Linked DNA regions of Caenorhabditis elegans. The protein of the gene in region 3 purifies or fractionates together with the protein of the main gene of each other region. This does not show direct contact. Each region holds a gene or a part of one and is shown on either strand. Other genes may lie near its edges. The genes, in order: F29B9.11, mpc-1, F58F12.1 and nuo-6.

Evidence for each region.
Region 1: the proteins of F58F12.1 (region 3) and F29B9.11 fractionate together in Caenorhabditis elegans (co-fractionation; one large-scale study listed by BioGRID). This does not show direct contact.
Region 2: the proteins of F58F12.1 (region 3) and mpc-1 fractionate together in Caenorhabditis elegans (co-fractionation; one large-scale study listed by BioGRID). This does not show direct contact.
Region 4: the proteins of F58F12.1 (region 3) and nuo-6 fractionate together in Caenorhabditis elegans (co-fractionation; one large-scale study listed by BioGRID). This does not show direct contact.

The regions. Positions count from the first base shown.
Region 1 is NC_003282.8:4,657,157-4,664,596, reverse strand, and holds F29B9.11 (Cytochrome c oxidase polypeptide VIIc), read left to right. Parts: upstream 1-4,395; 5' UTR 4,396-4,396; coding exon 4,397-4,510; intron 4,511-4,748; coding exon 4,749-4,901; 3' UTR 4,902-4,966; downstream 4,967-7,440. Other genes in the region: jmjd-1.2 (JmjC domain-containing protein), read right to left, coding at 1-499, 554-926, 1,245-1,476, 1,529-1,849, 2,208-2,334, 2,389-2,791, 2,956-3,240, 3,287-3,358 and 1 more; mrps-21 (Mitochondrial Ribosomal Protein, Small), read left to right, coding at 5,080-5,231, 5,285-5,474; col-111 (Nematode cuticle collagen N-terminal domain-containing protein), read left to right, coding at 7,010-7,283.
Region 2 is NC_003281.10:4,408,508-4,416,878, forward strand, and holds mpc-1 (putative mitochondrial pyruvate carrier 1), read left to right. Parts: upstream 1-4,949; coding exon 4,950-5,090; intron 5,091-5,677; exon of another isoform or gene 5,678-5,779; intron 5,780-5,808; coding exon 5,809-5,955; intron 5,956-6,003; coding exon 6,004-6,129; 3' UTR 6,130-6,241; downstream 6,242-8,371. Other genes in the region: gpch-1 (G patch domain-containing protein 1 homolog), read left to right, coding at 58-115, 160-627, 1,229-1,760, 1,976-2,503, 2,755-3,607; R07E5.11 (Intraflagellar transport protein 46 homolog), read right to left, coding at 6,333-6,551, 6,597-6,719; pdcd-2 (MYND-type domain-containing protein), read right to left, coding at 7,091-7,465, 7,516-7,810, 8,203-8,371.
Region 3 is NC_003280.10:6,379,182-6,387,336, forward strand, and holds F58F12.1 (ATP synthase subunit delta, mitochondrial), read left to right. Parts: upstream 1-4,463; 5' UTR 4,464-4,471; coding exon 4,472-4,591; intron 4,592-4,637; coding exon 4,638-4,770; intron 4,771-4,817; coding exon 4,818-5,014; intron 5,015-5,234; coding exon 5,235-5,276; 3' UTR 5,277-5,511; downstream 5,512-8,155. Other genes in the region: glam-3 (GLia Associated Membrane protein), read left to right, coding at 7,612-7,870, 8,000-8,152. UniProt on the Caenorhabditis elegans protein: Mitochondrial membrane ATP synthase (F(1)F(0) ATP synthase or Complex V) produces ATP from ADP in the presence of a proton gradient across the membrane which is generated by electron transport complexes of the respiratory chain.
Region 4 is NC_003279.8:7,062,870-7,070,814, reverse strand, and holds nuo-6 (NADH dehydrogenase [ubiquinone] 1 beta subcomplex subunit 4), read left to right. Parts: upstream 1-1,628; 5' UTR 1,629-1,639; coding exon 1,640-1,739; intron 1,740-1,813; coding exon 1,814-1,883; intron 1,884-2,230; coding exon 2,231-2,579; 3' UTR 2,580-2,699; downstream 2,700-7,945. Other genes in the region: W01A8.6 (Peptidase M14 domain-containing protein), read left to right, coding at 1-59; tofu-5 (Twenty One u-rna (21U-RNA) biogenesis Fouled Up), read right to left, coding at 229-503, 569-746, 794-1,019, 1,069-1,223, 1,272-1,373; cutl-6 (ZP domain-containing protein), read right to left, coding at 2,916-3,131, 3,202-3,291, 3,342-3,729, 4,117-4,262, 4,312-4,499, 5,456-5,552.

The DNA.
Region 1 (7,440 bases), on a different chromosome or scaffold from region 3:
AATATCTGGACAACGCCCTTCTGATCTTCAGTCGGTCCCATTCCAATCTTGATGGTCAATGGAGCTGTAACTTCGGAAGGACCTGCTGCTTCAGGAACCGGAACCTTCTCCTCGGGAACTTCCTCTTTCTTCGCCTTCTTCACCTTCGGAGCATCATCATTGTCCTTCTTAGCCTTTTTCGTATACTTCTTCTTGTAGGCAGTCGAGCTGGACGGGCAATAGTCCTCATCATCCCGCTCCGCGGATTCTCGACTTTTACGTTTCTGCTTCAACCCCATCGGCTTATTCTTGGCATTCTGAATCTTCGTCTGAATCTCAATCTGCTTCCTCACCGAGATCATAATCTTATTCTTGTCGTCAGTGGGCAGGATCGCGTTCTTCTCGGGACCCAATCTCAACTCTCGATCCATCCAGCGCTCCATTTCGGCCTTCATGATTTGTGACGCCGTCCAAATATTCTTCTCCTGCTCACGCATGTCAGAACCTTCCTGATTGGCTTCTGAAATGTAGCGAATATTAGTAAAACCGCTATACAAACTAGTAAATTGCTTACCTGTAATCTTCTCAAGCAAGACGTTTCGCATGTACATCCAATGAAGAAGTTCGAAATTCGGAAAGTAGAACTTCTCCTCGCTTCTAATTTCCTTACGAATCGCGTTTTCGAGATGGTACACGCGCATTTGCATCTCAAGATTTCCCAAATGCAAGAAGTTTCCTCCAAAAACGAGCGAATCGACTGGAGTGAGAACCGCGTGAATCCAACCAGCCGGGATGAGCAGTGTCTGACCTTCCTTGATCACAACTCGCTTAACAGCTCCGTTGGCAATGTCACCGAACCATGTAGTGGTGTCCGGAGATGTCTCGTGTGCTTGATAAGCTGCAAAGTTCTGCTCCGTTGGCGCGGCGATGTAGAAGATTTTCTCGCCCTGAAAATAGAGTTAATAAGCTTTGAGAAAACCAATTTCAGTTGAAAGAAGGGTATTTCGAACATTACGATCCTAAATGTGCTCAAATCAACGAATTTCGTGATGAGGCTTCTCAAAAATGCTTTTAAAATCTCGGAAAATAGGAGATTTTAGCCAAATTTAGTCTTTTTTTTTTAATTTTGAACCTCCAAAAAAACCAAAAAAATATTGAGAATTTTTTCAGAAGTTTCAAACGAAATTCGTTAATTTGAGAACATTTTGGCGGGGTCAGAACGTTCACAATCCGCGGAACCATTTATATTCCTTCAATAATTATACCTTCAAAATGTGATAGTAGACGCTACTACCACCAAAGTCCACGTGGAAATCCGTATAAGATCCAGCCATTCCTGCGAGACAAAACTGTTCCACTTTTGGTCGCTGATCTTCTGGAAGATATTCTTCTCTCTGGAGGAGTTTAATGTACTCCGCTCCACTGACATCAGGCCACAGGCGGTTGACCATTGAGATTTCCTGGACAAATCTTGGCGGCTTAGCGATTTCTTTCATCCTGGAAATGTTAATTAATTAATTTTTCAATTGTTTTCAGTTAATAAACTCACTCATTATTGTCCGAGAATTCAAGGGACAGAAAATTGTACAAGAGTGGTCTGTTTTTAGTGTCGCGAAAAAGTTTTCTGAACGTATCAAGCTTCATCGAATAGGTGCTCTGATTATAGACATCGATCGTGTCCACTTCATAATCCGATCCCATAATTTTCACAACATCCTCCAAATCGAATCCAGGCTTCGGCATTGTCATATTGAGGCCGTCCATGTCTTTGACCATAAAAACTTTTCCCCAGTTGTCAGCTCCTCCGAGTTTTTCGAATTCTCTGCGGAATTCGTAGCCATCTTCGACAATGCAAACCTCATCGTCGGTTCTAAAGAATACAAATTTAATTTTAAATAATCTTTAAGGGAGGTCTGGGTTTTTTGCTTGTTTAGACTCAAAATGTGCCGGAATGAACGAAAAACATTATTATAGGTGATAAATTCAAGTTTTTTCGTTGATTTATGTACATTTGAAGCCAATAGGTAATCAAAAAAGGCCAATTTTAGTAAACTGACAGCTCAGAATGTACCAAATAAACGAAAAATGTGAGAAAACGGCAAAAATGGGAGTTTTCAGCTGAGATTAACTCTTTTTCTTGAAATTTTTGTGAAGTCTTCGTTCATTTTGGCGTATTTCGAGTCTTCACAAATAACAACCAAGTCATCTTTTAATGAAAATTCCCTTACGGTGAGGGAACAGTATTTTCTCTGGTGATGAAATCCTCAATCCAAGTTTTTGAGCCAACTTCAATTCCGAGATGCTTCTCGTTCGGACTGTACCAGCGATAACGATGTGGGGCGACGACTTTGTATCCTAAAATAATAAATAAATATATTTAATTGCAAGCTATTCGATGAAAAAACTTACGAATGCTATGTCCGGTATGTGGAACGCATTTGGGGCAGAAAAATTTCTCATACAGGTAATACTCAAATTGCTCGAGGCCTGAGCACAGAAAATGGTACCAGGTTTGGCAAGAGTCACAGCCAATCCATTGGAAGTCATTTTTCTTGTGATGGTGAGATTTCTTCTTGCTCATCAGTGGCTTTTCCTTTTCCTTCTTCTTTTCCTCTTCAAGAGCAATTAGATCATCTTCATGAGTAAATTTTCCGCATCCTCCACATCGATCCGATTCCTTTGGAGTTTTCTGCTCTGGGACATCATCTTCTTCACTGTCCGAGTCCACCTCAAGCTTCAATTCTTCTTGAACTTCTTTCTTTTTTGTTTTCATTTCGTCGAAATTCGAAATTGAAACGAAACGGAATGGAGGCTGGAATAAAATTTGATGATATTTATCAATTAATTTTTTTTCTTCATTTAAAAGTTCAGTATGATATTGCCACGGGAAATTTGAATTTTTTCAAAAATTTATAAATTTATAAATAAATTTTTTTTGAATGAAAATAATCTTCCACATTTCAGAATAAACCATACCTCAGATCCGTTGCTGACGTAGTTCTGATTTGACTCCATCTTCGGCGCTTCCGCTTCCATCTTGTTGCTCATTGCAGCCTGATTATCCGATGAATCTGTCACATGTGGCTCGATTTTAGGCTCGCTCTTCGGATTGTGCTGCTTTCTCCTCGGATCTTTTGGAGCGCCCATCTTGTTGTAAGCTCTCGCCTGGAAAATTACGTTGAGAAATGGAGGAAGTTCAGTGAAATCGGAGGTTACACTCACTTTCATGAGCACTGATTCTATCGCAAAATCAACCGAATTCTGAGATGAGACTTTTTTTAAAATTTTAAATGAATAAAACACTTACTCTATCCATTTCGGAAACCGATTCATGGGAATTGCCATTCAAATGATTTTGAGGAGCTGCGACGCTTGCTTCCTGTAATCAATATCATTGAATAATCGCAGAAAAATAAAAAATCGTACAGAAACTAATGGCGTTTGATGCTCAGTAGAGGAAAGAGCCGGTTGAGAGGCTGTGTATGACATTCCTGGCTCGCCGATTGCCGATTCGTGATTCTTATGGTCGGAATGCTGATCCATCATTAGAAGTGCTGATTGGTCTCGAGAAAACTCGTTTTTTTGTATATTTATATCATTACCATCCATTTGGAATGTGTAGATTCTGGAAAACAACGATTTTTAACGGAAAACTCGAAAACTTCAACGAATAGTCGATTGAAAGGGAAACAACGGACAAAATAACATGAAAATAGCTTCGAAATGTTTAAATTTATTTCTGTTACAACATTTTTCAATAAAAAACTCCAGAAAAATGATGGAAAACTGAAATATATGCTGAAAAAACTGTAAGCCTCGAGGAGATGTGAAGAAGAAGAGAAACGAGACGCAGCATGCGAAACAAGAGACACTGCGAAACGGGGGAACGTGAGTCGCGATGAAATTTACGAGTTTGTGGGATTAAATACTAATTAGTAGATAAACTTTAAGATGAAAATATCAATATTGATTAGTTGAATTGATTGCAATTCTGAATACAAAAAATTTTTAACGAGAAAATCAATTTCTGCCTGTCCACTTCCGGGTTTTGGTGTCTCGCATTCACCGTTCACTCGCTTCGCAGTGTCTCCGTCTTTCTCACCTTCCGTATTCTCACACTTGGCACGTAGCCAAGCGGCTGGTCTCGCAACGATTGTTTTTGTTTTCCGTCAGCCGTCTCTGCGCCTTTAACCTCTCACAGCCTGCCGATTATTTTTTAAGCAGATTTTTACTATTTTTCAGCTTTCAAGCTTCATCCATTAGCAAAATCAAATAATTTTTTGATTCATTGTGTAGAATTAACGATTTTCGTATAGTTTCTGTTTTTATAACCGCCTGAATCGTATTCTCTGTTTCGTTTTCTATGGATTATCATGCTTGCTCAATTACTCTGTAAATTTAAACGATTTATTGCAGGATGCTGAACCGTGCTGTGCTCTCCTTGGCTAGAAGCCAACATGTCATCCGTCGCTCGCTTCACAAGGGAGTTGACTCGACCCCACCACTCCGTTTCACCTCTGTCAGCGAGAAGGTAATTTTTTATTTGCTAAATGTCTTGAACTTATCCTTGTGAGCAGTAAAACTTAAAATACCACTAGCTCACCAAAAAAAACTAAATTTCAGTTTGTACATTCGTTTGAATGGATTTGAAAAATTAATTTCTGAACTAAAAGATACAGTTTTGAAATTTGTCTCACTTTTAATTTAGCTGCTCAAAAACATATTTATCCAGATATCCATATTATTCACTATAACACCAATTTTTTCAGGTTGCCCTTTACGGACTCATCTGCGTCGCTTTCATGGCATACCCAACTTCCGTCCTCTTCAGACTTGATAGTCTTCGCCCAAGACCGGATAATGCTCTCTCCCCAGAAGTCCAAGAAGAGATTGACGCCCGTGTTGCCGCCCGCAGACAGTAGAAGTAATATTATGCCACGAGCCATTGTGTAGACTTTTGAGAACAACAATAAATCGATTCTTGTTTTCTCTTCGCTTTTTCTCAATTTTATTCGCTGTCAAATGTGGTTTATCCATCCATGAAAGATAAATGTTCGATTCGGTTTTTCATTTAGAATTTTTTTGATAATTGTTTTAAAGATGGTACGTCAATTCACCTGGAGAGGAACGATTTCTCAGCCGTTCGCGATTAAACTTTTCAAAGGAATTTGGAATTCACATCCAAGATTCGCAACTCGAACAGTAATGGTGCAGAACAATGATGTCGATGGAGCTTTCGGACTTCTTAACAGGTTTTCTTTGGAAAAATTCCCAGAACATAATTTCAAGATTGAAATAATTTCAGATTGATGGATTCAGAAGGAATGCTGAAAATCATTCGCCGCACTCAATTCTATCAGAAGCCCTACATGCAACGAAAAACACTGTCGATGGAAGCATCAACGGCGATTTTCAACGAGGACATGAACCGGAAAATGAAATTTCTCGTTCGAAAAAATCGTCCCGACAAGCATCCCGGACAAGTGACGTCCTAATTTCGATCTCAGAAAATAGTTGTTTTGAGTTTTTTGTTTTGTTTTGTTTTACAGCAATAAAAGTGTAAATTAATTGAGAATTTAGAAACAAGGATATTGGTTTTAATGTAAAAAGTTGAGGATCGTCGGTATGGATTTTAAGGATTGCACACGTAGAATGAGGAGAAACAGGCGCCGCAGCGCCCGCGGGGCGCTTGTCGCGGCGAGACCCGTGCCGGAGGAAAATGCCTGCGCCTTTAGTTTGCTACTGTCTCTCTCACTCCGCTGTCACGGGAAAACATCCCATTCTCGGGTCGCTGCGCTCCCCCGAGAAAAGGTTTTCCCTTGTTCCTAGCTCCGTTCGAGAGAAATGAGGTTTAAGGATTAAGGTATGGATTGCAAGGGAAGCCAAACATGGAAAAACCTGATCAATGAATTTTTGCGGTTTTTAGTCAAAAATACAGTGACAAGTTTCGACAATAATTTATAAATAAGAAAACGCATAGAAAATAACTAAAGTTGAAACTACTGTACTTCTTAAAGGCGCATTTTTATTCGTTTCGAGACCTGATACCACATTAAAGGCACACGCTGCGGGTCTCGCCACGATCTCAGTTAATGTGGCTGTTACACGTGATTAATTTGAGGCCCCACGAAAAGGGGAGCAGAACGAAAAGGGGATCTGCAAAAATGGGATCTGCGAAAAGGGATATACGAAAAGGGGAGCTGGCACTGTGCCAAACGCACAAAACGCTTTTTTATTCTCATCCAACGCACGACTTTGTTATAACCACACTCCGTTATTACGCATCGCGCGTTGTTTAGCGAAAAATACAAAAAAAAAGTCGTGCGCTGAATGAGAATAAAAAAGCGGTTTGTGCGTTTGGCACAGTGCCAGCTCCCCTTTTCGTATCTCCTCTTTTCGCAGATCCCCTTTTTGCATATCCCCATTAATTTCAAGTAATTGTGTAGAAAACTAGCCGAATTTCCAACAACCTAACAAAATTCGAAAAAGGGATACAGAAAAATGCGACTTTTGAATTTGAGGTGCAAACGTGCTCCAACGCCATAATGAAAATGCTCCGCCTCCAGACTTTGGGTCTCGTTAGGTTTTGGCTTGTATATAATCAATTTGGACATTAAAAAATAATAACTTGAAACGTTTGTTTTTTTTATTTTGCCGCCAACACCTAACGAGACCCAACGTTTAGGGGCGGAGCGTTTTCACCTGGAGCGCGCTTGCACCTCGACCTCAATAATGCGCATTTTTCTGCGCTTCCATAATAAATTGGATTAATCCCTTCTCGTGTTCCCCTTTGATATACGAATCCAATATATCCTTTTTCGTTTCATTGCGCAACTGTTCTTCCTCCATCTCGCTGTCATCCAAAACCGCCATCGAACATGCCAAACTGCTTCCACACCTCGTTATCCATACATGCAACCACACAAACCGGTTTTAGATTTAGCTTCTTGTACTTTCCCCCATCTTCGTTCTATAAAGACATCGTCCACCGTCACTTTGCCATTTCTTTCCATTTTCGTCGTCTAGAACTATGACTGTAGACAACGCGGCGATTGCCACCTGGACAAGTGTCCTGGTGAGCGTTGCGTGCATCTCGTTTTGTGCATTTTTTGCCGCTTCGGTGTGTGAGGATATCAATCAATTTTTGGATGATTCCTTGTTGAGCTTCAAAGAGGGACAGGGACGAACTGATGATGCTTGGAATGAGGTGGTGTTCTTGAATGACAAGAAATTCAAGTCAGAGCTCCTCGTCAGCAACTCGGCCACCGTTCGTCAGAAGCGTTCCGATCTTCCGGCTCATTGTAGTAAGTTTTACAGAGGATTTTTAGACTGTAGTATAATATACAAATGACCGTGGAGAACGTGGATAACAGTACTTTTTGTACTTTTTTAGACTGAAAATTTAAATCGCACATTCAACTTGAGTATAAATTTATATATATCGTATTATTAGGTGAAAAT
Region 2 (8,371 bases), on a different chromosome or scaffold from region 3:
GTTTCCTAAAAAGTTTTGGAAAAAAATGTGAATTTCATTTCAGATTTTTCTAAATAAATGAACAGGAAAAAATTAGCAGCATATGGTCAGGAATTCGAAGATGATGACGAAGAAGGTCTGCAATTTTACAGTTTTCAGGAAAAAAATAAATAATTTCAGGAAGCTCTGTATCAAAAAAGCCAACTCAAATCCACGAAGAGATAGCAACAGATGAAAAAGGAAAACGGAGATTCCATGGAGCCTTCACTGGAGGATTTTCAGCTGGTTATTGGAATACAGTTGGATCAAAGCAAGGATGGGTTCCTCAAGTGTTCTCATCATCTCGGAATGAACGTGGAGAACAAATAAAACAAAGAGCTGAAGATTTTATGGATGCAGAAGATCTTGGAGAATATGGAATAGGGAATCGATCGATAAAACAGACTGCGGCATTTGGTGAAGGAGCTGGACAGAAAAGGAAAATGGCTTGGGAACGGGATACGACAAGTATTTCAACGATAACTCAGATGTTTGAGGATGTTGTGAAGCCTGTTAGTAATTCGATAGGAGTACGGATGCTCCGATCAATGGGATGGAGAGAAGGACGAGGCATCGGATTGGCAAATGTTAAACAGAAACAGAAGAGAGGTTCGAGAGCATATCTAATTGAAGGAGGAGTTATCAAAAAAAGTTTAAATTAGTCTGAAATTCTTAAAATCCATAATGGAAAAAGGGAAACATCGCAAAAAAAGAAGAAAAATCTCGTTTGTAGGAGTGCGATTTTTCGTTCTTTGGCAATTTTTTCGTGTTTTCTTTGTGGTTTTTCAGGATGGATTTGAGGCGATTTTGAATTTTTTACAGCGGAGTCCTCACCGAAACTTTTCAAAAATGTTTTATGGCGGTATTTAACAAATTTCGTCAACTTTTCCGTGCCGGAATTTTTTTGGGTTGTTTTTTCTGTGTTTCAAAGTTGTTCGTCTAGCGTTTTTTCGTGGATTTAAGAACATTTAGAGATCAAATCTGGTCCAAATGTACCTAAATTCCCAAAAAAAAATTAGATAAATATCGATTCCCAGACGCTTTGGCAAAATTCGGTTTGTGTTTTCAATAAAAAAAATTAGTTTTGAAGATTCTCGTGCTAAAATTCGGTCTTTTTGGGCCATTTTGAGTCCAAGAAACCAAGATTTTTATCGATTAATCCTCCTTTAACCAAATAATCAATTCCTTCAAAAAAAATTAATTTTTCCAGGCGGCGAGTCGTCGGAAGCCCAATTCGACCGCGAGCAAGCTTCAAAGGTGGCTCCAGCGTACGAATTTTCGAATGAAGATGCTCTTGTCAAACAACTGACCCCATTAACTGGAACTCATGGAATAGGATATCAAGGTCTTCGTAAGACTACTGTACTTAATGAGTCATACGGTAGAACAACTTTGGCTTTGAAATCCGGAAAGAAAAATAGCAAAGGAATAAAAGGACAAGCATTCGGAGTTGGAGCATTTGAAGAAGAAGATGAAAGTGTTTATTCGAATTATGATCTCTCGCAATTTGATTTTTCATTGGATGTAGCTGGAGCATCAGAAGAGAGTAATTTGAAAACACAGAAATTGGTTACTGCATTTGAATTACAGCCAAAGAGGCTTAATCCAAGAAAATTCTATGCTCCTCCAAGAGTTCCGCCGAATTTTCGAGGCGATCATCGTCCGATTCCAATGGATATCTCGAAACTTCCACAAATGATGAAGAATGATGTAAAACATATGAATGCGGAGCAAAGAGCAAAGTATGATTTAAATTAACAATAATTCATATTTTTTCGCTTTTTTTTGTTTTCCGAAATTTGCTAAAGTTTGAGTTTACGGGTTTTTAAAACGTAAATCGATTCAGCTTTTTCCGAGAATTTTGACCTGAAAATTATTTGGAACATTTTTTTGGCCATTCTCATCATTAAATTTCGGTCAATTTTAGAATATTTTTGTTGAACTTTATTTATTTCAGATTCCTTGGTGAAGATCGCGTGAATGCACTTGAAATTGGAGGCAAAAGTTCCAAAAAACCGACAGAACGAAGAAGTCGATGGGATATCAAGGCAAATGAAGTCGAAAAACGTGATAATGAGCGTGGTGGTGGTGAAGCAGAAGAAGATCGGGATCGACGACAACGGAATCGAATTGAATTCCCTGATGAGCCTATGCGACAAGCTCGATTTAAAGAGTTTCTTCATTATATTCGACGTGGTCTACCGTACCCTCAGCCCACTGATCTGACTGTCTGGGAGTGGGAGTGGGAAAAGAAAGAATTCGAGTCAAAATTGACATCTGACGAACGGGGAATGCTTCCAGAAGTACAATCCAGGGCTCAGCCACTTGCAAAAACTGCCATAGCAGCGCCGATTCATGAAATGATGGCTTCGAAATTTGTGAAAGAAGCTGGCGGTGATTTGAAAGTTGGAACGAAGGATGAGGATAAATTAGCCGCTGTGAAAATGGAAATGTTTGGAGAAAAAACGAGGCAAAGCTTTGATTGGTATGTTTCTAAATTGAGAATCATCTAAAACGACCGAATTTCATAATGAGATTTCTCAAAAAACAATTTCGAAAAAAGGCAAAAAAATGTATGTGCTGCAACAAGATCAAGATGACGAATATTCGGATTTTACAATATTTGGCTCTTTTTTTAGAAATTTTCTGAGAATTCTTATTATGAAATTTTTTTGTTTAGGGCTAGTTTTAGCCATTTAGTCCCTTTGAAAAATGTAGAAATTTTTAAATTTTCAGGTATCCTGACAATCTTCTCGCTAAACGATTCAATGTTCCCCATCCATATCCTGGATCAGACACTGTCGGAGTTCCAGCTCTTCAGAAGACTGATTGGAAGCGGAAAGATCGATTAGCAGATATTGGTGGAGTCTCGGCAACGTTGGGACTTCCGAACACTGCAAATGAAATTGAAATGAGGGAGCGACTTCTGAAATCGAGAGCTCAGAGAGGAGCAGAAGAGAAAAAAAGAAATCAATCAGATGATGACGATGAGAAAGAATATGATGATAAGGATTCTGATGAAGAAGAGGAAAATGAAGCCGAGCCTAACAATCAGAAGGTAGACAAAGCTCCAAAATCGTTTTTTGATTTCATTTTTGGAGATGGAGACGGTGCAGACTCAGATGAGAGTAATAGTGAAGATGAAGAAGCTGAAGAGAAGGAACGGCAAGAGATTCTGAAAAAAAGAGAAGAGGATTTGAAAAGAAGAAGGGAAATAGTTGAGAAGAAAGAGGAGGAGAACAGAAAACGAGTGGAAAAAGAATTAAAAGAATTAGAAAATAGGGATTTGCTGAGAGTTTCAAAGCAACAGGAAGATGATGATATTCAGATTATTGATGAAACTTCTGCATCTTCATTTGGTCCAGCTCTTCCTCCATCTTCAAAACCAGTTCTTTCAAAAACGGAAGTACTGAAACTTTTAGAAAAGAATATGAAGAAAAAGAAAAAGGATAAGAAGGAGAAGGAAAAGAAGAAGAAATCGAAAAAATCAAAAAAGAGCAAGAAAGAAAAGAAGACAAAGAGGAAACATTCTTCGTCTAGTGCCGACGATTCCGGTGATAATTCCGATGGATGGGAGGAGAAGAAATAATCTGAATTAAACATTTTGTTAATTTTTTTTATTTATTTATTTATTATCATATATTACTATGGTTTCGACTTGTAAAAATGAAACATAAAATTTCTCAAAGTGATGTCTGAACTATCCTTCTCCTCCCGTGTGGCTATTTGTCCCCAGTTAAATTGTCTGCATCTCTCGTTCTCTATTTCTCTCGCTTTCTATTCTCTCAAGGATTGTGAGGTTTGGTTCCTGCGAACTCGTGCACTGAGGTCACATTTTTCGAGCAGAAATGAGTTTTCAATTTCAATTTTTCAAAGATTTTAGTTTTTCAGATGCTTTCTCTGTTAAAAATTAGTACAATTTGTTTTCCATTTTTTCAGTCTGCAAATATTAACCGGCACCTTTAGAAACATTTTTTGAATTGCATTTGAAAAACCTTTTTTAATTTGAAAAATTAGAAAAATTAATTAGAAAAAAAACCCAACAAATTTTAATGCTGAAAAACTACAATTTCTAGTTTTTTTGTAGTTTTCAGCAGTAAACGCATTGGTTTTTTACATGAAATACTATAAATGTGGGATAAATTGGTAAATTAATGTTTTATACATAAAACAATTAGCGAAAATGGTTAAAAATCAAGTTTATTGGCTAAAAACAAAGCTATCCGCGATAAATTAATGCACACAGTTTTCCTCGAGGAGTACACGAGCTTCGTAAATCGACACGTTGTCTTGCCACGAAGATTTTGTTGAGTGGGATTAGGTGTGCGCCTTTAAAGAGTACTGTATTCTCAAACTTTTGTTTTTTGAGTTTTAAAAAATGTTTCATTGTTTTCTCAAATCCAACAAATAATGAGATCTCATTATTTCTTCGAATTTTTCTGTTTTTATTGTTTTACCTCAATTTTTAATTTGAAAACATATTTTTATCGAAAAGCTATGAAAAGCCGATTCATTCAACAGAAATTAGTCGTGTCGAGACCCGGTATAGTATTTTTGGAGCAAAAGTCTCATAATTTAACGGCCATGCTTCAATTTTTTTTTGAATTTAAAACCTAAAGACAATTTCTGAAAAATCAAAATTAAACCTTCTAATGGAACCAAAAAGATCAATATCATCTTTTAGCCACTGACAAAAACAATTATTTATTTTCGTTCTCTCATCCATTTTTCTCTAATTCTCTACAGAGGGTTTTCCTTATTTTATCATCATTGAACAAAAATACTGATTTGATTGCTTATCACTTTTTGTTCCTTATCAAACCCAAATATATATCGGACGTTTTTTCTTGATTTCTCACGCGATTTCAGCGAAATGAACATTTTCGAACATATTTTTAAAAAGCTTAAAACCTAAAAATTCATATTTCCAGATGTCTCGAGTTATATCAAAAGTGACGACATATTTCAAGCAACATTCCACCGCCGAATGGAAGCATTACTTCTTGTCAACTCATTTTTGGGGACCAGTGGCTAACTGGGGACTTCCGTTGGCTGCTCTTGGAGATTTGAAGGTAACTGCATTTTTTAGAGACAAGTTAGGGTGAAAAAACGTTACTTTTGTATTGGGTGTTTAAAAATTGAAAAGCGCTTTTAATCCATAGCCAGATTTGGTTTTTTTAATAAGTGCTGAAAATGTGTGTGCCTTTAAAAAGAACAGTAGTCGTAATTATGTTTTCTTGCTTTTCTAAATTTTGCAGGTTAATCAATTTTTTTCACATGAAATAAAATATATTTTCCCAAAAATTTAACAAAAAAAACTAGCAATAAAGGAATAAAAAACTGTACACCTTAAAGGCGCACACTCTGTTTTGCAAATTTTATTTTTAGTTGTGAATTTTCTGCTGAGACCTGAAAATAGCAACTTTAGTACTACTATAATTTGTCAACCTTTTCAAAAAAAGCATGCAATTTTTGAGAAACTCTTATAAAAGCTATTATTAAAAAAACACCTTTTTTCCAAAATTATTCCACAAAAAATATGTTATGAAATGCCTACACCCTCTCACACACACTCTTTATACTACTCTGTCAAACTCACGAGATGTCTGCCGCCTCTTGTGTCCCCCCTATATAAACACCTCCTATTGCGAGATGTCTTGTTCTTCCGAGAACATATACTAAAATTGGAACAATACAGAGAAGATTAGCATGGCCCCTGCGCAAGGATGACACGCAAATTCGTGAAGCGTTCCAAATTTTTTGTGAAATTTTCTATAATTTTTTTTGCAGAAAAATCCTGACATGATCAGTGGACCAATGACGTCAGCTCTTCTGATCTACTCGAGTGTTTTCATGAGATTCGCGTGGCACGTTCAACCACGAAATCTTTTGCTCTTCGCTTGCCATTTTGCCAACTTCAGTGCTCAAGGAGCTCAGGTATACTCCATAACAGCAGCTCCAGTTGATAATTTTTAATTTTTTCAGCTCGGTCGATTTGTGAACCACAACTATCTGCACTACGTTGAAGATCCCGTCCACCATAAATTGATGATGAAAAAGGAGGTTTTGGAGCACGAACACGATGCGGAAGTGATCAGCAAGGCACATTGAGCAATTTGATTAAATATATAATTTTTAGCGGGTTTCGCTCTTTTTATGGTATCCTTTTTTCGAATTTCTAGGGAATTTTAGAAAGAATAAGTTAAATAAAAATAAATTTATGATATGAACTGAAAATGTAAAGCAAAAATAGGTGTTCGAAGAAAACCGTAACTAGCGACTCGACTAGATGTCAACATTCACAGGGAGAATCATTATTTTAATGGAGCTTCAACTTCGGATTCATCCACTTTTTGAGAATCGTCAAATGGATTTTTGAGATTTTTGAGATCGATGGCAGTTCCTTCTGCACGATTTTTCAGCGAAATCAGCACATCTGCAGGGATTTCTGGAATATCCGGAGTGATTGGAGGAGGTGCGGCAAGATCGACGTCTTCATCATATTCACCACTTCGATCGAATGGATCAGAGTCCTAAAACATTTTTTTATGCGAGTACAGTGGACGATTCCAACTAACATGTCCTCCGCGTGTCTCATTCAATGTCACTTCAGCCATAGAATCTTCGTACAAGTCTGTACTTGACAGCTCATCATCGACTTCTTCTTCTTCTGGTTCACCTGCTTGAGCATCTTTTTCCATTGAAATAAGCTGTAAAATACGAATTTCTTCAAGTCTTGTTTGAAGATTTTCATAAGTAAACTCGATAAAATCGAGGAAAATTGAAAAATTGATGAAAAATAGTTAAAAATCTAACCGTGCGGCGAAATTTCGTGATTTTCAAATCAAATTCTATTTTCTTTCATTTTATCGAGTTTAGTTATCGAAATACTGCAAAAAATAATTCATTTAAGCTGATTCCATTTTTGAAAAATTACAATTTTCAGATACATAACCGGCGTTTCTCACCAATCTTTTTAATAATAAACATTTAAAAAAATGCAAAATTTATTAGAACAACACAAACAAGAAAAACAACAAATTGCGAACAAGAGAAATAACGAGGAAAAAAATTAAAGGAAATCTTGCTTGGCGACAAATTCCTTCGCATAACCATCATCAGCGATCTGGCAACTCGCGGAGCAAGTGTACACGTACACGGAAGCCCAGTCGATAGATTGACCAATAGCATCTACATCGATGAGCGACAAGAGATGTGGCATAAGCTGCATTTCGAAACGACGAGGAGCTCCACAAAGTTCACATGGTTCCACAACTTCTGGCAATTCAGAAAGGCCAGTTGCACGGAGTGGCTGTCCGTATCTCTTGTATCTAATAATCTGATCGGGTTGCAAATTGACAAGACGGTTGAATTTATCAAAATCGATATCTTTTGGTTGCTCGGCGGTGGCTTCATCCAAATCTTCCTTTGTCATGTCAGCGTTTTTCTGAAAAAGGAATTGAGAAATTTAATTGTTTTTTCCGGCGTCAAACTAACCCCTTTGTTCTCCTTGACAAATTTCTCAAATTCTCTGATTCTTGCTTTCTTCTCCTCTTCAGTCTCATCCTCATCATTTCCTTCTTCCTCTTCCTCATCGCCTTCATCATCACTAAGTCCGTCAAACAGATTTGCTGGCATATATTCCTGATCAATTTCTACACCGAATTCTTTGAAACAAAACGCATTTCTTGGATTTTTCGGTTCATCCGTTATGGAGCCATCTGTTGCCGCTTTAGCACATTCGAGCTTGTGAGCAGGCCAGTCGATGACTTGATGAGCTTGAGAGCAATATCTGAAATTGTGACATATAAGGTGTGAACAAAATTTACCAGAATTTCGTCTTTCCGGCCAGAAATACTGTAACTGGTCTCGATACGACAAATTTTTGTTAAATGCACAAAAATGTGAGCGCCTTTAAGGGGTACTGTAATTATAAATTTGCTGAATTTTCATAGATTTTCCAAAGTTTTCCGAAGATATTTGTATTAATTTTTTTAAACTTTAACAAAATAATTATATTCGAGAGAAGAAATATTAAAAGTCAATAAAAATTCCGCAGCAAGAAAATTTTGGAATTATAAGCCTAATTAGAGTACTAATTAGAGTAGGCACACGCCTTTTTGCATTTAACGGAGAATTTTTTATTCTGGACGCAACATTTTTCGTATGGGTAACTTCTCTCACCTCGCCACTTGGCACTTGGCACATTTTTTCGCAGCGGAACATCCACAGATTCGACACAATCCGGGTCCATCAGCCGGTGCACGTGGATCAGCAACATCTCCATCCAAATCAGGATCCATTGGTCCATCAAATGAATAATAATCATTGGCACGTGGAAGTTGGCATCGGA
Region 3 (8,155 bases):
GAGAATCATGCCAGTTATCAATCAATGATAGTATGCACTTTTTCGCGACTGTCATGTGTGAGATTGAAGAGAATGTCAAAAAACGGAAACTCGACAATATCTTCATATATCTTGAAGTTCGTGAAATAAAACAGCGATTTTTGATTAGTTTCATCTTGCCCATATTAAATCATCATTTTTGGACAAAAAGAAGATATGATTGATAACAGGAAAAAAGAAAATAAAGAAAAAAATAGAAAAGGTAGATTTGGGTTGGTATGAGGATTGGACGGCATGAACTATTGTTTTTGGATTTGACAACGTGACCGATCAGAAGGAAGTTAAATAAATGGACTTTGATCTAGATCAGTCAGAAAATGGAACGCCTTATCTTTTAATTAACAGAAAAATCAAACACGTGGACCCTCTTCCAGTTACGGTTATTGTTGATACGGATGAGCGAATTCTGATTGAGGGATCTTCACTCTGATTATAAATATAACATCCACGAAAACTTCCTTCGTCAGCCTTGTTGCTGCCCCCGGAGCGCTGGAACTTTTTGCTTACATTTTCAAAATTACCATGCCCGTAAAAAAATCAGCAAGAAATATGATAGTTTGACATTCTGAAGATTATTCACTGTATAGTGACTGTCTGAGTAGGTAAACCTATCTTCGACACCTTTAAGCCTTTCTACCTACCTGACTACCTAGAACTCCGATGCTTGATGTTCGCACACTGGAAATAAATAAATAAAGATTGAAGTTTACTTTGACATCAGGTACGTGCTTTCTAATTTCATATTAAGATCATACAAAATGCAAGAAAGTTTTCAAAATCGAAGCAAAATCGTATCACAAGGGTTAAGCTGATTGTGAGTCGCTACTGTGAGTCGCTGTCGCTAATTACCACAACTGTCATAACGCTGTTAGATTTATGAATAAAATCAGCCTAAAAGGAAAATCAGTTTAGATTTTAAAGATAAATTTTCAAAAAAGTTTTGAAGAATTGTGGTGGGATACGGTGGCTGAGTAGCGACTCGACCTTTTCAGATCGGAATATTTCAGAAATTAGATTAGTTTTAACAAATTTGGATAAAGATGATTACCCAAATTAAATTCTGTAGACTGCAAAATTTTCAAAATCAAAATCATAGCAAAATTGGCAAAACTCCCTATCACTGTTTGAATTAAGAGAGTCGCTACTCAGCCAATTACCAAACCTGTCATAACATTGTTCAGAAAAGGGATAGAAAGTTGGCTCAAAAAGCAAATATGGTACGTTTTTGGAGAAAAATATTTTAAAAGAAGTTTCCAACAAATTTGGTGTGCCAAGAAAAGTTTTGGTCAAACTTAGGATAAATTGTCCAGCTCTTCCCAGCTAGCTTTTAAGTCAAGTTATTTTTTTCGGGTTGAACATAGCCAAGAACTTTTATGTTTAAAACTTAGTTTTCTACACAATGCTATTTTTGATAATTTCAGTATTGCAAGTCGTGGAACGATTTCGAGGTTGTTCTGGAGTTACAGTTCAGTTGGAAAATGTCGATTTTAGCTCATACCTTTCTACCTACCGTAACCTTGATTAACTTCACAATTATTTGTGTTGTTGTGTTGTCGTTTTTCATTTCTTGTTTTGTCCCTTGAAACCTGCATTCTTTTTTCTTACACATTCTTTCTCTCCATTTATTTATATTCTTTATCTGCCACAGTGTTTCTCTCTGATTCATAAATTCATTCATTTTCTTTCTGTGTGGTTTAAACTTCAGGTTTCTCGATTTCTCTATCATCTCAAAATTATGCATAAACCCATTTTTCCATTTTCTCTTCGTCTCCATTCCTTACCTCTTGCAAACTGATAGGGGCGTGACCTTGTTCCGAAAAGAGGCGGAGTGTCGGAACGAAAAGTCAACGACATGTCCTCTCCGGTCAGTCAGCCACCGACTTCTTGGTGCTCTTCTCTCTGAAATTTCATTCGTCTGAAAGTGACCTACTTTTTAAACTCAACAATGATTCATCATCCAGTATATTTTTATGGAGAAGCAACATCAATGGATCTTCATAAACATTCAACATTATTCTCTGTGCAAAGAATGCAAAGACTTCAACTCATCAAAATATCAACACCGGAACACAATCGGTATGGTCAATTCAAGAAAAGGATCACTAAATGATATCCACTTATCATTAGTCACGTGTCTACATGACTACATGGCTACAACATCATAAGATATATTTTCCTTGTACATTCTTAGGAAAGTGTAAATATAATATTTTGGAAATTTTCGAAAGGTATAGCTCCAATTCTAGAGTTCATTATTTATTTATTTGTTTTTTTATAAGCACGTTATATTTCCTTGTCCCTTACAAAAGGAATTGTATATATATATTTGTCTGTACATTTTTTGATATTTTTCTCATTCCGCTGGTTGGTCATCTATTTCAATTGTTTCGCGATGATTTGCAATATTTTAATGGGATCTCATTTATTTTGTTTCATGTTCAATTGTACATTTATTTTGATTTTTGTGATAATTTTGAATCTCGAGTGAATTTATTTTTAATATGTTTTAAGTTTGTATACAATATACAAGAATTGAGTTATTAAAATACAATAATTACAAAACTAACCATGATATGGCTAAAAGAAATCAGCTGGGACAAGCTTGATTCACAGAAATTTGTAGGCTTTTTACAGTTAGAAAACTCAAAACTTCCGGCAGATCCTGAAATAAAATACAACTCTTGAGTTTACTGAAAACGTAACATTTACAGTTACAGTACCACAGAAAGGCTGATAATTTTTCACCCTAATCAGCAATTTAGGTGAAATTTATTACAAGTGGAATGCTTACAATAGTATTGAGAAAATTTTTTACCTACCTAAAGGTTGCGTCTCTCTCTCCGAAACTTGTAGAAGAATGGCTGCTCACTCCAAACCGGAATTATCTGTTGTTTTGGATGCATAGTTTTTAAAAGGCAGGTCTTAAAAATCCAATCCCTAACTTCTCTGCATGCACAAACTTTAAAAGTAGCTACAGTAATATTTTCACATGATAACCTGCATTAGGAGTGTTAACCCTAACCACAAACTTTATCATTGACTATGTGTCTAGTTACAATGACCAAACAACTGTGTGTGTTTCTTTAATAGGATTCTAATAGAATGTTAAATATCTAATGGCGAATTCGTGATTTCAGGTGAATTTATTTAGTTCCGGACACAAGCCTAAACAGAAAGTTCACAAAAGTTAGTCATGATGATCTTTTATCTTCAGTTGCAAACTTTTTCTCCACGGTTTCATGATTTTGAAGCTTCTTTTTATTTTAGAGATATCAAAATGTTGTCGATCTACTTACTCACTGCACAAAAAGGTTATTATGTAGTTTAAAATAAATTTTCGTTGGGCAGAATGAGGGATGATATATTATTACTGTTTCCCGGTATCCACTTGATGAGCATGCGACCTCTCTGTCCAGAAGCCAAACTTTCAATAACATCTACAGTATGTACTGTATTTTGCAATCACTTATAAAAACTGAAAACTGAGAAGAACCATAAATCATACATTTCCCGCATGTTTCTACTCAATTGATAACCGGATTATCACATTTCTTTACTATTACTATGAAATGACACGCAGTTGCAACAAACTTCAAATATTTGATAAGTTTCAGTCAATTCAGCAGAAAACGCACCAACACACATGTTCTGCTTCAGGTGAAGGAAACACGTAAAAAGTCACGTGGCTTATTCAAATGTTCAAATGAGTCGTATTTTGCAAAGTGTATCGAAATGCTACGCAATGTAGTGAATAATATAGTAAGTTAAGTGAAACCTACAAATCATGTATACAATTTTCAAAAATTTCCATATATTCTTCCCTGCGTACAATTCGAGAAAGGAGCAATCTACTTTAATGGTTAAGATTTTTTCAATCAGTAGCTTCAATAGTGTACTCTATTGCTGTTTAGATACGTCTTCAAATAAAGTTTATTTAAAAAATATGTTTTCTCTATTGTAATAGTTCTATAATTTCAAAAATTATTCCAATTAGCTACATTTCAATAAATATCAAAAATTCTACGCTTCTTAGTTGAAAATCTCCAATTACATTCGCTGTTTCATATTTAACATACGTTTCATTAAATCTTCAGGCATTTTTTAACCTTCGCCAAGATGGCCTAGTTTTTCCCGATGGCCGCGGACTAGCCATTAGGGGATGCAAACACGCTCCGTTGGACGACGGGCGATCTCGATTTTTATTCACCTTTTTTTAACAAAAAATCTCTGTTTTCAACTGTTTTGGGAAGTTTTTTCAGTTAATTTTCGTTATTAAAAATTGAAAAAAGTATTCGACTATATGTCTACGATTTTTACTATTGTTTGTTCCCCAAATACAATCTATTCCTCCGATTTTTTCATTTATAATTCTTAATACACATATTGACCTTCTAAAAATCAATCAAACAATGTTATCATTTCAGAGGGTAAGATGTTGGCTCGTACTATCCAAAGATTCTCGGTTGTTGCCAAGCGCGGATACGCCGCTGCCGCTCCAGCTGCCAACGCCAACCCAGAGGAGCTTCGTCTCACTTTCGCCTCCCCAGACACCGTGAGTAAATATTATTTGAAAACATTATTTGAAAATCAATTTACAGGCTGTCTTCAGCAATGCTGTCGTCAAGCAGGTTGATGTGCCAACTTTGGCCGGTATGGTTGGTGTTCTTGCCAATCACGTCCCAACCATTGGAGTTTTGAAACCAGGAGTTGTCTCTGTCACCACAAATGAAGGTTTATTTTGCAAAAATAAATTGTATTATCACCAAAGAATTTTTCAGGAACAGTTCAACGCCTTTTCGTCTCTTCGGGAACCCTCTCCGTGAACATCGATGGATCATGCCAAGTTCTTGCTGAGGAGGTCCTGAAAGTTGAAGAAATTGATGAGTCTGCTGCCCGCGCCGAGCTTGATGCTGCCCAAAGAGCCTCCGGAGAAGGAAGCGAGGTTGCTCGTGCTGAAGCTCAAATTCGCGCTGAAGTAAGTGTTCGAAAAAGTTTTAAAAACCAAAAAAAAATACAAGAAACGAATATCGTTTGGTTTCAGCAAAGTTAAGCATTTCGTAATATTTTTATTATCAAAATGATTCTGTGCTTCGATACTAAAACTGAGACCAGGACATAAAGTTGAGGGTCATAAAAGTAGTTCTCTGAAATGAATATGTCTTTAAGTTTTGTTTCAAAACAAGGGAATTTTTCAGGTTGCTGAAGCATTGATCAAGGCCGCCACGAACCAGCAATAAGGAGTATGTTGAGAGTAGACCCTTTAACTTTGGTAAATTCCTTTTTAATTTGATCCTAGGCACATCGTCAATTTCTCTCGATGCTGCTTATAGGATATTATGTACGGCCCTCCCTTTTTTTGTTTTCATTGTTCCATCGTTTCCAATAAATTTCGAGACTTTTAGTTTTTGACTTTTATTTTTCCAATTTTCTGATTTAGTGATATTTATAGTAGAAATGAACATTCGATCCTTCATCCAAGTAATTATATCAAACAAGAGAAAATTCTGAAAATGTATGTAAACTGGAATACCAATTCCATGAGTTTAAAACAATTACAATCTACAGCAATACGTACCCTAAAATGAAATAGAATTAGTATTTCCTTATGTTTACCAAAAAACGGAAACCTCGGGTTCGATTCAATTCATGCGCTAATCGAAAATGGTTGTTCAAAAAGCGAAATTGAACGAAAAAAATCGTAAGTGATGATGCCATTCAGAAGAATCTGCAACATTTGAAGAGGAAACCCAAGGAGGATTCGGCTTTTTCAAAGTGATGAAAGTTGAGATACAAATTGGAATTGTCTTTTTTATCGACAAACCCACTTTAAATGCCATTTACAGACACGATGGGAGGATAGACAACAAACTTCAAAAATCATATGAACACTTTTCTGAATCAAAATAATTATTCACCAATTTTCCACCATTTTTAGTAAATAGCTAATATTAGTTTGAATATCAAACTTCTTTTATTAAAATTGGAGCTTTATTTATTCAAACCTTCGCAAAATTGATTTGGTTTCTAAGAACTTCAAATAAAAAGTATTCTAAAAATGTTTAGCCTATTCCAAATACCAATGTCACATAATCTTATAGATCCGTCGCCACACTCAATAAAATTCTTCGTTAGAAAGTGTTCGGAATAGTGAGAATGGATTCGATTCCATATCTGTGTACATGTACAATTATGTCGGTTTCCGTTAATTGAGAAAAAGAATTCAGGAATTGAAGAGACGAAAAAGAAGAAAAGATATGTCTTCGGACTGATTGGCATCGTTTGTTCGGTGGTCAACACACCGTCAACGCACAGATTTCCGGAAGACCTTTCCTTTTCCACTCAATCATCAAAACTCTTTTTCTGTCTTCTTCTTCTTTTACTTTATCCTTTCTCTCATATTTCCAACACTTTTTGACAAGGTAATATACGTATAAGTCTCTCATTCCATCATAATATTTCGTTGCTGTCATTCGAGAACCGCCCGGGAAGGGGATGACTAAATTGCTGGAAACCACTTTTCGCTTTCACTGCTTGCCAACGTTGTGTTTATGTTGTTACCTATGGCTTATATGATTTGGCGCCCTTCTAGATTTTTCTATTTTATTTTAATTTTTGTTTGAAATCCTTGTTGCAAGAAATTTACAAAATATGTCAAGTGTACTCCTCAAGAAAGTTTAGAAATCGTCTAAATAAGTACAGTAGGATGATGAAAAAACTTTGAAATTCGGTTAACTTTTGGCCTGAACTGTTTTATTACCCAGACGCGAAACTTTCAGAATTTAAAACCAAAAGTACGGTACCTGGTCTCGACACGACACATTTTCGTTAATGCAAGAATGTGGTGTGCGCCTTTAAAGAGTACTGTAGTTTAAAACTTTCGGTGGTGTTAATTTAATTCTATTAATTTCCATAAAATCTGAAAATTTATGCTCTTTGATTTTAATTTTAGTTTTTGCAAATAACCGGTGCAAATTCCAAAGCAACGAAAGTTTGAAGCTACAGTACTCCTTAATGGCGCACACTTGTTAGAATTTGTCGTGCCGAGACCGGAGATCGTATTCCTGGCTCAAAAATCGCAAATTTAGCTCCAGAGTAATATTATTGCTAGATTACATTTTTATTCCCCTCCTGAAATCTTTTTTTTTTTCATATTTATGCATCCCGAAGAAATATGCACTTTTAAGGACTACTGTATTAGTTTTCTTCTTTTTCTATGCTCTCACTGGCCTATGCTTTGTTGTATTATTTCTTCTTCGTATGCTGCAACTTAAAAAATAAATTCTTCAACTTCTATAAAAAAGGAACAATCTGATTGTGAGAAAATTGCGAAACATCCCTTCATTTTGAAATATTTTTATCACTTCTCGAGTACTGTGTTTTCCAAAACTCTTGCAAACAACTAATATAAAATGTACTCTTTTATTTATAGGCAATTTGATAGAATCTCTTGCCCGAACTTGAAATACTGTATAAATCTTAAATTCAACTCTCAAAACGTTTAAGTTATCCTGAAAATCGAAATATTTGTTTTCGTATCAATATATTCAGAAGATCAAACAACCAAAACTTCAGATGGTTTTTTCACTTCTTCTGCTCTGCACAACAATATCGTTGAAAGCAGTTCCTGCTCTCACAAAAGCTATAGCAGAATCCTCGGATTTAGCAAACTTCATAAATGAGACAGATAGTGAGATGACGTCATCACAAATCGAATCTTCAACTCAAATACCTTCTTCAACAATGAATCCTTCAACTAAACTTCCTTCTTCAATGCGTGGAAAGGATTTACATTGTCCTAGTATTGAGAATGCCGTTAGCTCATGTCCAAAAGGTGGGATTTGGATTAACACAATTTTTGATTTTTGAATTTCAGACTTTAAAAATTGAAAACTCTATAGCTCGTACTGAAAGTGTTAAAAATCTGCACCTGAAACTTTAATAAAATTGATGATATTTTCAGACTCCAAATGGGTATACTACACGTGCTGTGGCGGAGCCAATATGTATTGCTGTGAGCATATTCAGACATGGCTACTCTCTTTTCTTGCTGTCATAATTGTTTTTCTCTCAATCTTCCTCATTGGTTGCTGCGTTCGCTGTTGCTGCAGTTACAGTA
Region 4 (7,945 bases), on a different chromosome or scaffold from region 3:
AACCAACTACAAACGGAACATCAGCAGACAGTAGATCTCCTCGATTCAGACAGCTATAACAAACAAATCAACACGTGTCTTTGGACGACGACGAACTTGTCAAGAAGCGGGTTTCTACCATTTTTGTCTTTGTTAGACTTGAAATCAATAAACTTAATAACAATGTATTAAATACCAGTGAAACGACCGGATGATATGACAGGATATAACAAAAAATTAATAAAAATTTCAATTGGACGATGTAGATGGCTGGTTGTCCTTCGTAAAGTTGATTAATTCGACTTCAGATGCAACTTCAGGGATCGCATGAAAACGGGTACGGAGTGGATCCACGAACAGTTGAACTGCCGCCATAACGTTCGGAGGATAGTCTTGCTCACAGAAGCGGTAATTGCCTTGTTGACATTCACTGAAAATACCGGCAAGAATAGATTTCTCAGTATCTGGAGTTGTCGTAGCTTCGGTTTCGATAGTGTCTAGTACTTTGGAGACAACTGCCGCTTCTGAAAATAAAACTGTAGCGCTGGTTAAGTTCCCTCAGAGTTAGAATTATTCTGGGTTTACTGACCAAGTTCATTGAGCGCTGGCATTTGCTCTTCCAATGTGGCACATGCTTTCATGAATCTGTAAATGACTGGCCATCTTATATTTTGAGAGTCAGTTCTTGTAGCTTTTGCGGTGAGAAGTTTGGTCACCACCGCATTTTCGTGAGTTTTAGATTCTAGAGCGAGATTCTCGAAGAGTGTCTGAAAATTTGAGCATTTTTCAATTGCTGACTAATAAAATATAAAACCTCATAAGTATCTCTAAGAGAAGGTAGGGTCTTGTTGATTGATCCATGATGATGATCGACTATTTTTCCCATGATACTGCTCCAGTCGTCATTTGGATCCACTTGGCAAAATGGTGGAGGAGTGATATTATGATGTCCTGCTTCGATCCATTTATTTTTGTAACACTCAGGGAGAATAATCTCTTTGTGTTCCTTGATAATCTCTCGAATCTCGTCAATTTTCGCCCTGAAAAAGAATAATGATTAAATGTTGAACATATATTTTAAAAACTTACTTTATCTCTTCGATAGATCGTTTTTTTACAATGTTTCGGTGAATATAGTTTATGGCTTCAATTTTGGTACCATACTTCATCACTCCATCCAATAAACTTCTCAAGTCGTCACTGGACCAATTGCCACCATTGAAGCTGCGACCTTCTGCGAGAATCTACAAAATTTTACATTTTTAAATAGTTTATTTTATTAGAAAACTGACTCTGTCCAGTGGTGATGGTTCTTCGGTTACAGTATGGTTTGCGACTTCAAAAGCCATAGAGCTACCGGGAATTTCATTTGTGGGATCGCCGTCGGTTTCCATGGCTAAAATTTGAGTTTTAAGTTAAGTTTAATGTGCGAAAAAAAATAATTATGGCCTCGATTTAGGAAAGAATTGAAGAAAATTGAATTGAGGAAAATTCCTTTCGCTTTGAAATGTGATGTAGATTTACGATAAACAAGGCGCTGTTGCGAAATATCGGAGTGTCGTTTGAACCAGTTGTTCAGAACTTTTTATTTTATTTTTCTTAATTTCCGTCTTGTTTTCCGATTTTGTTTATTAATATTTTAATTCCAGGTTGAACCAAAATGAAGTTGGCATTAAGACTTCTTCGACCAGCTGCCAACCAAAATATTAAATCTCCGAAACTGTGGCAGGATCCAGTGCTTGGATATTTTGAGACTCACGGTAAAACTTTTATTTTATCGATTTATTTTTCATAATTTACTGTTAACTTGTAAAATAATAATTGTTCTGTATAGGAAAGACCGAATTTCTGCCAGGACATGAATACAATCTGAGCGACGAGGAGAAGAAAGCAGTTTTGTGGAGGTAATACGAAAAACGCTTTTTGCTTAAAAGTTTTTAAAAAAATTCTAAAAACAGTGAGAAACATAGTTTTAATTATATTCTCAATTTAAAATTATTTAATTCTATTGAAAAATCAATATATGATAACATTTGCGTTGATGAACACTTATTTCAAGTGATTTATTAGCAATAGAGACAAAAAAAAACAGTTTCTTGATATAATTTACAGAGTATCAAATCAAAAATTGCTTTAAAAAAACTGTTGCGATAAAATTGGATATTAAACACTGAATTAACATAAATTCAGTTTTTAATATCCAACTTTATGATAAAAAAACTACATTTTATTTTTAAAAAATTACTTTCAGATATCGTGTCAAGGAGATTTTGAAGAAGGAATATCTCCGTCGTGAATACGATCCTCATAGCTTCAAGTACAAGGAGGGAGTCACCATGGATCCAGCAATGTTCCGTTGGTATTCTGCTGATATGACTCAAGCCGAGTTCTTCCGTTTCACACCACGCACCGTATTCCTGTACGTCGGAACCGTTTTCGCTCTCTTCTACATTTACACTCGTCTTATGTTTGTCCCAATGGACAAGTCGAATGAAGCATGTTTGGATGGAAAGCTTCTTTGGTGGGATCGTCAACAAGGAAGAACTCTACAAACCGGAGGATCCGGTCTCTTTGCTCCAACCATCGGAATCGACTTCTAATCGTCTCGATCTATCTGTTTTCTTAAATTTACTTTTAGATCCGAATGTAAGCAACTTTTTCTCGATTTTTGTTTTTTTTTAGCTGTGTCGTTATCCTCGTCAAATAAAATTCAGATTTTATTAATGTAAACACTCGTAAATTTATATAAAATAACATTGATGCCTGATGAATTAGATTCCGTAAAAATATGTGTGGAACAGACATCACAGAGAAAAAGAATGAGAAATTTGTGCCTGACTTTCGAGAGAGTTCAAGGGAATTTTTAAGAGAAAAATGGGAGCTGAAACCGTACAATCGGGACGTGTAATTTATAAAATAATATAATAATGTGAAAATCAATAATATCTGCCTGACTGCATTATATCGAGCTCTTTTTTGTGATTTTGTCTTCGAATCACTAGTGCTGTGGAGACAACTGTTAATGATACAATTGTGATAAGAATAAGGGGAAGAACTGGAAGAAGTAGTCGTGGAACACAGAATGGAGAAGGAGCAAGGAGCCCACGATCTGCTGGATCAAGTACAAGAAGTTCTGATGTTGCTACGTCGATCTAAATATTTTATTGTTTTCATGTTAGGAGGATTAAAAAAATATATAATCCGGAAACAATCTATGATTACCTCATAATCAGACCGATCAGCTTCTCTTTTTGTTCGATTTCCATCACCACTTGCTTCACTCAGCAATTTCTTGACTCCACAGTTTGGTGGCTGAAAATCAAAAATAAGTATTTGCTTCAACAATCTTCGAACTCTATTACCGTAACTTCCTGGCACATTCCCATTTGTTTCTGACACAATCTTATCTGACAAGTGAAATATAATTGATTTGAGTCTGCATATTTGAAAACTTGACTTGATGCATGAGCTCGCATAAGTGAAGCATCGTAAGACAGCTCACTGAGCAAGAATGGATCAGTTGCACAGCCATCAAAGTCAACAACAGCATGATCTTCTCCGTCTCCATCTGTTACAAAACACTTTTTGACAAGCATTCCCATATCAGCCGGTGTACATTCCCATACATGAAATACAATATCTCCGACATTGGCATATGTTAAAGTTGGACCATTTGGACCATCACGACGAACTGAATACTCGCATTTTGGCATTACCATACTGTCAGATAGTTCAGTCGTTGGGATCATACTGAAAATTAATTTTTTTGATTATTTTTTTAATTATTTGTGTTTGAAAATTCAAATATCATCAATGCTCCGAAATACGCAAAAAGTTCAATTTGGCAATTTGCAAGAACATAGACTTGAAAAAAAAATTTAAGAGTTTCCGATAATCTTATCTGGTGAGTTCAAAGATTTTTCACCCTCAAATACTAAACACTGAAAAGTATAGAATCTCAATGTAAAATTATTGAAATAAAATGTTAAAACTTCAGTATCTTTTTCTTAATACATATTACTGATTTAAAATTAAACTTGCAGTTCCTATCAGTGTTGCACTCAAAATGAAAAACTGAAAAATAATTATTGAACGCAATAGTTGAAATGAGGCATATTAAAATAAACGATTACCTACCTAACATCAATATTCTGAGTAACAATCTCATCTGGTTCCATATAGAAACATTTAACATGGAATGCCCTATCATTTTTTGTGATGAATCCAGCTGGATGGAATGATACAATGACTGTGACCATAAAATTGACGCCTCGAGGATTTGCCTGAATAAAAAAAAACATCTCACAAAATTGTCGTTTTCGGTCCATTTACCGATCGTAACCGTTGCATTCCACATTTTCCAAGCGGCAATGAGTATGAGTTTGTTCCATTGTTCGCATAACTTTGTCGACATGACTTGTCTTTCGCTCGTCCCTTTACAAAAATATTTCCACGAAATGGTTTGGAGGTGACAATGTCGAGTGCCAGATCATTTTCCGCGCATATTACCTTGGGTGTACCTGTAGAAATAAATGAGAGGGGAGCTCTGTTTAATACGCTTTACACGACCACTTCCGCACCTCATTATTCTCATTTTTGTTGTTCTTGAAGGTCGTTTTTTTGCGGTTAGATTTAGTGGATTTATCTTGTAATTGCTTTGAGACTTGCAAACTTGTAGACATGGATTATCGCACGCTTTATAATTTTTTTTGTATTCAGAACATTGAACTCTTTCTCTCTATATAATTATCGCTACTTAGGCCGAAGTGTAGGGAATGGGGTCAGTAGTCGCAACTATTTGATCTGCCTGTGGATTTTTTGCTTAAAAAGGATATATTACTGTAGCATACACGTTTTGAAGATGCAGAAAATGATTAATGTTTTCTTAACAACAAAACCGGTGTAAGATCGGTCTAGGCAAGTTACAACTTTTGTTTTCTAAAATGTGTAAGACCAAAAAAAATTTTTAACGAATTTCATACGGCTTTTTGAGAATTTGTCTGCATATGTCAGATTAGTTTTGCTGTAAATTGAATTTTTTGAAATATACGGTACCCGGTCTTGAACCGATCGGAACTTTGAATCTATCCGCAGCAATTTTCCACAATGTTTACTCATTATTTCCAAATATTTTACGTATTTTTTCCAAAAGTTTAAAGTTTGCAACATGAATTGGGAAACTGCGGGTACTGTAGCTTCGACGTTTCGGTCGTGCCGAGACCATTTTTTTTGTGAACGGCTAATAAAATTTACTCTGGTCATAGTGTCTTTTAAGTGATAATTTTGCAAGCTTCGAGTCAAAAACCGTGATCAGAGATCAATATCACATATTATATATTCTAGAATTCAAAACAAAATTCATCTGGTGAACTGCAGTTTTCTGCCTCTGGATAATAGTAGATTAATCACAAGTTAGAATAAACTGTTCAATTTTAAAAAACTTTAAAAATTTCAGTAAAATGAAAATTGAACTTACCTATTATAGAGTTATCAATATAGTTGACCACTTTCGTTTGTCCTATCACTTTCTCTAGCATTGAGCATACCAAAAGAAATCCTAACCTCAGAAGCATTGTGTCTGTCTGTAATAATAAAAAAATCTTGAGGAAGTACAAGAATAAGTAGTTGTAACGACACACGTTCAAAACTAAATTAAATGCTCTTCTTCTACTTCATCTGGGGAACCAAACAAATGTGGGAGGAGCATAGGTGGTAACTAGTACGACCAGAATACGGGCGGGACGCATGATGACGTTCCCGGGCGGGACAAGAAGACATGATCGCTTCTCAATTAAGCTCGTGTTTTTAAGATGGACGGAACGAAGAGAAATCCTTGCGGCGGGCGGTACTTCTTCCGAAAACTACGAGAAGAACTACATATTATTCGGGAAAAAGAGTTTCTGTGTAAAGGTCAAACTGTGGAGATGAAGAGAAAGAGAGGAGCGATGGGAAAAAAATACGATGGACAGAAGGGTTCACGGTGAAAATGGATAATTACATGGACAGCCGAGACTCGAGAATAGGTCAATTGAGATGGAAATGTATGACGCCTGCTGCTGCCATACAAAAGGTGAATTGGTTAAGCTCGTAAGAAATGACAGAGTATTTTGATTTGAGAAATAATATGTAGACAACACCTGCATTCAGAAGCCCAGGACACTTAATTTGAAAGTGAAGTATTTTGATTCTTAACTGGATATTATGAACCACTTTGAACATCATCTCATATACCCTGTGAAAAAATGAAATAAGGAGAAAAAGTCTATCAAAATACAATAGGGAATTTTTTAACCAGAAAATCAGAGATTTGATCATATAATTCGAGAATAAAAGCAGACCAGCACGTCATTTTAATGTTTCAGAGTTTTTGAGCAAATATTATAAAAGTTCACTACAACCCTAAAATGTATACAATGTTTTTTAGAAGTAACAGCTTGCGTAATTCAACGTATTTATTTAAAACCCAAAATTAAACATAGAGTACATATCGGAAATTTTGGGAATTTTTTGCCAAACACTACTTGAACAGGATTTCAAGCAACAATGCCAAGCTTTGGAAAGGATCACTGATTATAATTTTGCTGAATATAACTTTCAATCACACACTCTACCTAAAATCTAGAAGTACAGTGCGTGCAACTTCTATAGAAATTTGGTCCATGGACAACTTTTGTTCTCAGAAACAAAACACATCTATACAGTTGGACAAAGATCAGATATACACACACAGTTATGCCTTTAAGATAGGAAAAGCTTTGTGAAGATAGGAAAAGCTTTGTGATTTTCTTGTTTTTTTTTTTTGAGGTTTGAAGGTTAATCGTCGATTAAAGGGATCCCATAGAGCACTTACCCCCAATGAATAATAAGTCAGATTATCTCAATGAATTGTTTCTGCCATAAAACAGAGGAAACTTTTCAGAATTAAACAAATTTCTATGACAATGATCTATGAATATGGTAAAACATTTTGGTATGTTTTTGTGCAAAAACATCTACTGGGAGCGGAGCACTGGTCACTAACACACAAAAAAGTGTTACAGGACCATTGAGAGTGCATCCCAATATATATATATATATATATATATATATTTCCACGTAGCATTTTTCATGTTTTTAATGAACGAACTAAGTATTTAGATCATTTTGATGTTATTGTTTTACAAAATTATTTTGAAAAATTTAAACAAATTCAGTGCTTTTTGCGATTAAAATCAAAATTCTGAGGGGTTCTATAGAAGTTGCACGGTCGTTTTTACGACTTTTTGGCCTAATTCTCGTAGTTTTGCATATATTTTTCTAAAAATTTTGGACAGTAGGTTTTTTGGCATTTAGAATCGATTGACATTAACAAATTTTCTTGAAAAATATCAGAACATGCTGAAACTCGAAAATTTAGGGGGTTCTATAGAAGTTGCACGCACTGTAGGCACAAAATACCTGCCTACTCGCCTAAACGGCTTGAAAAAGACCTAACCAGTCCGTGTGATATCTTTCTATACGGTGATGTAAGCTTAGAAGTTGAGTGAAAGCTTTTGCCAAATTTGAAAAATTCGTGTTAAACATTTTTGGTTGGCCGTTTCTTGCCAGGACTACCAATTTATTTGATCAGCTTTTAATAAGTTGTCAGGCTGAAGGTAGAAAGTAATTGATGTTGTGCAGTAAGTTGCCCCCAAACGCCAAGAAAGCGAGTTACGCCTGCTTAAAGGCACATAAGTTGGTCTTTATTCCTACCTATATATAAGATCTACAAGAAGTATATTAATGGAATTACGATTTTTTTTTCAATTTTTGTTTGGTCTGAAATTTTGATATCGGAAAATCTAGCTGATTCCTTCTCAATATTGTCTTCTTAATCCATGAACGCTCAGTATATCGGAAGCACAGAACACATTTCCCTTAAATCCTGATTTTGATACCTGCAATATAATAGATCAAAAGAAGTGGAAAGTTTTCGTTGAACTGCCCT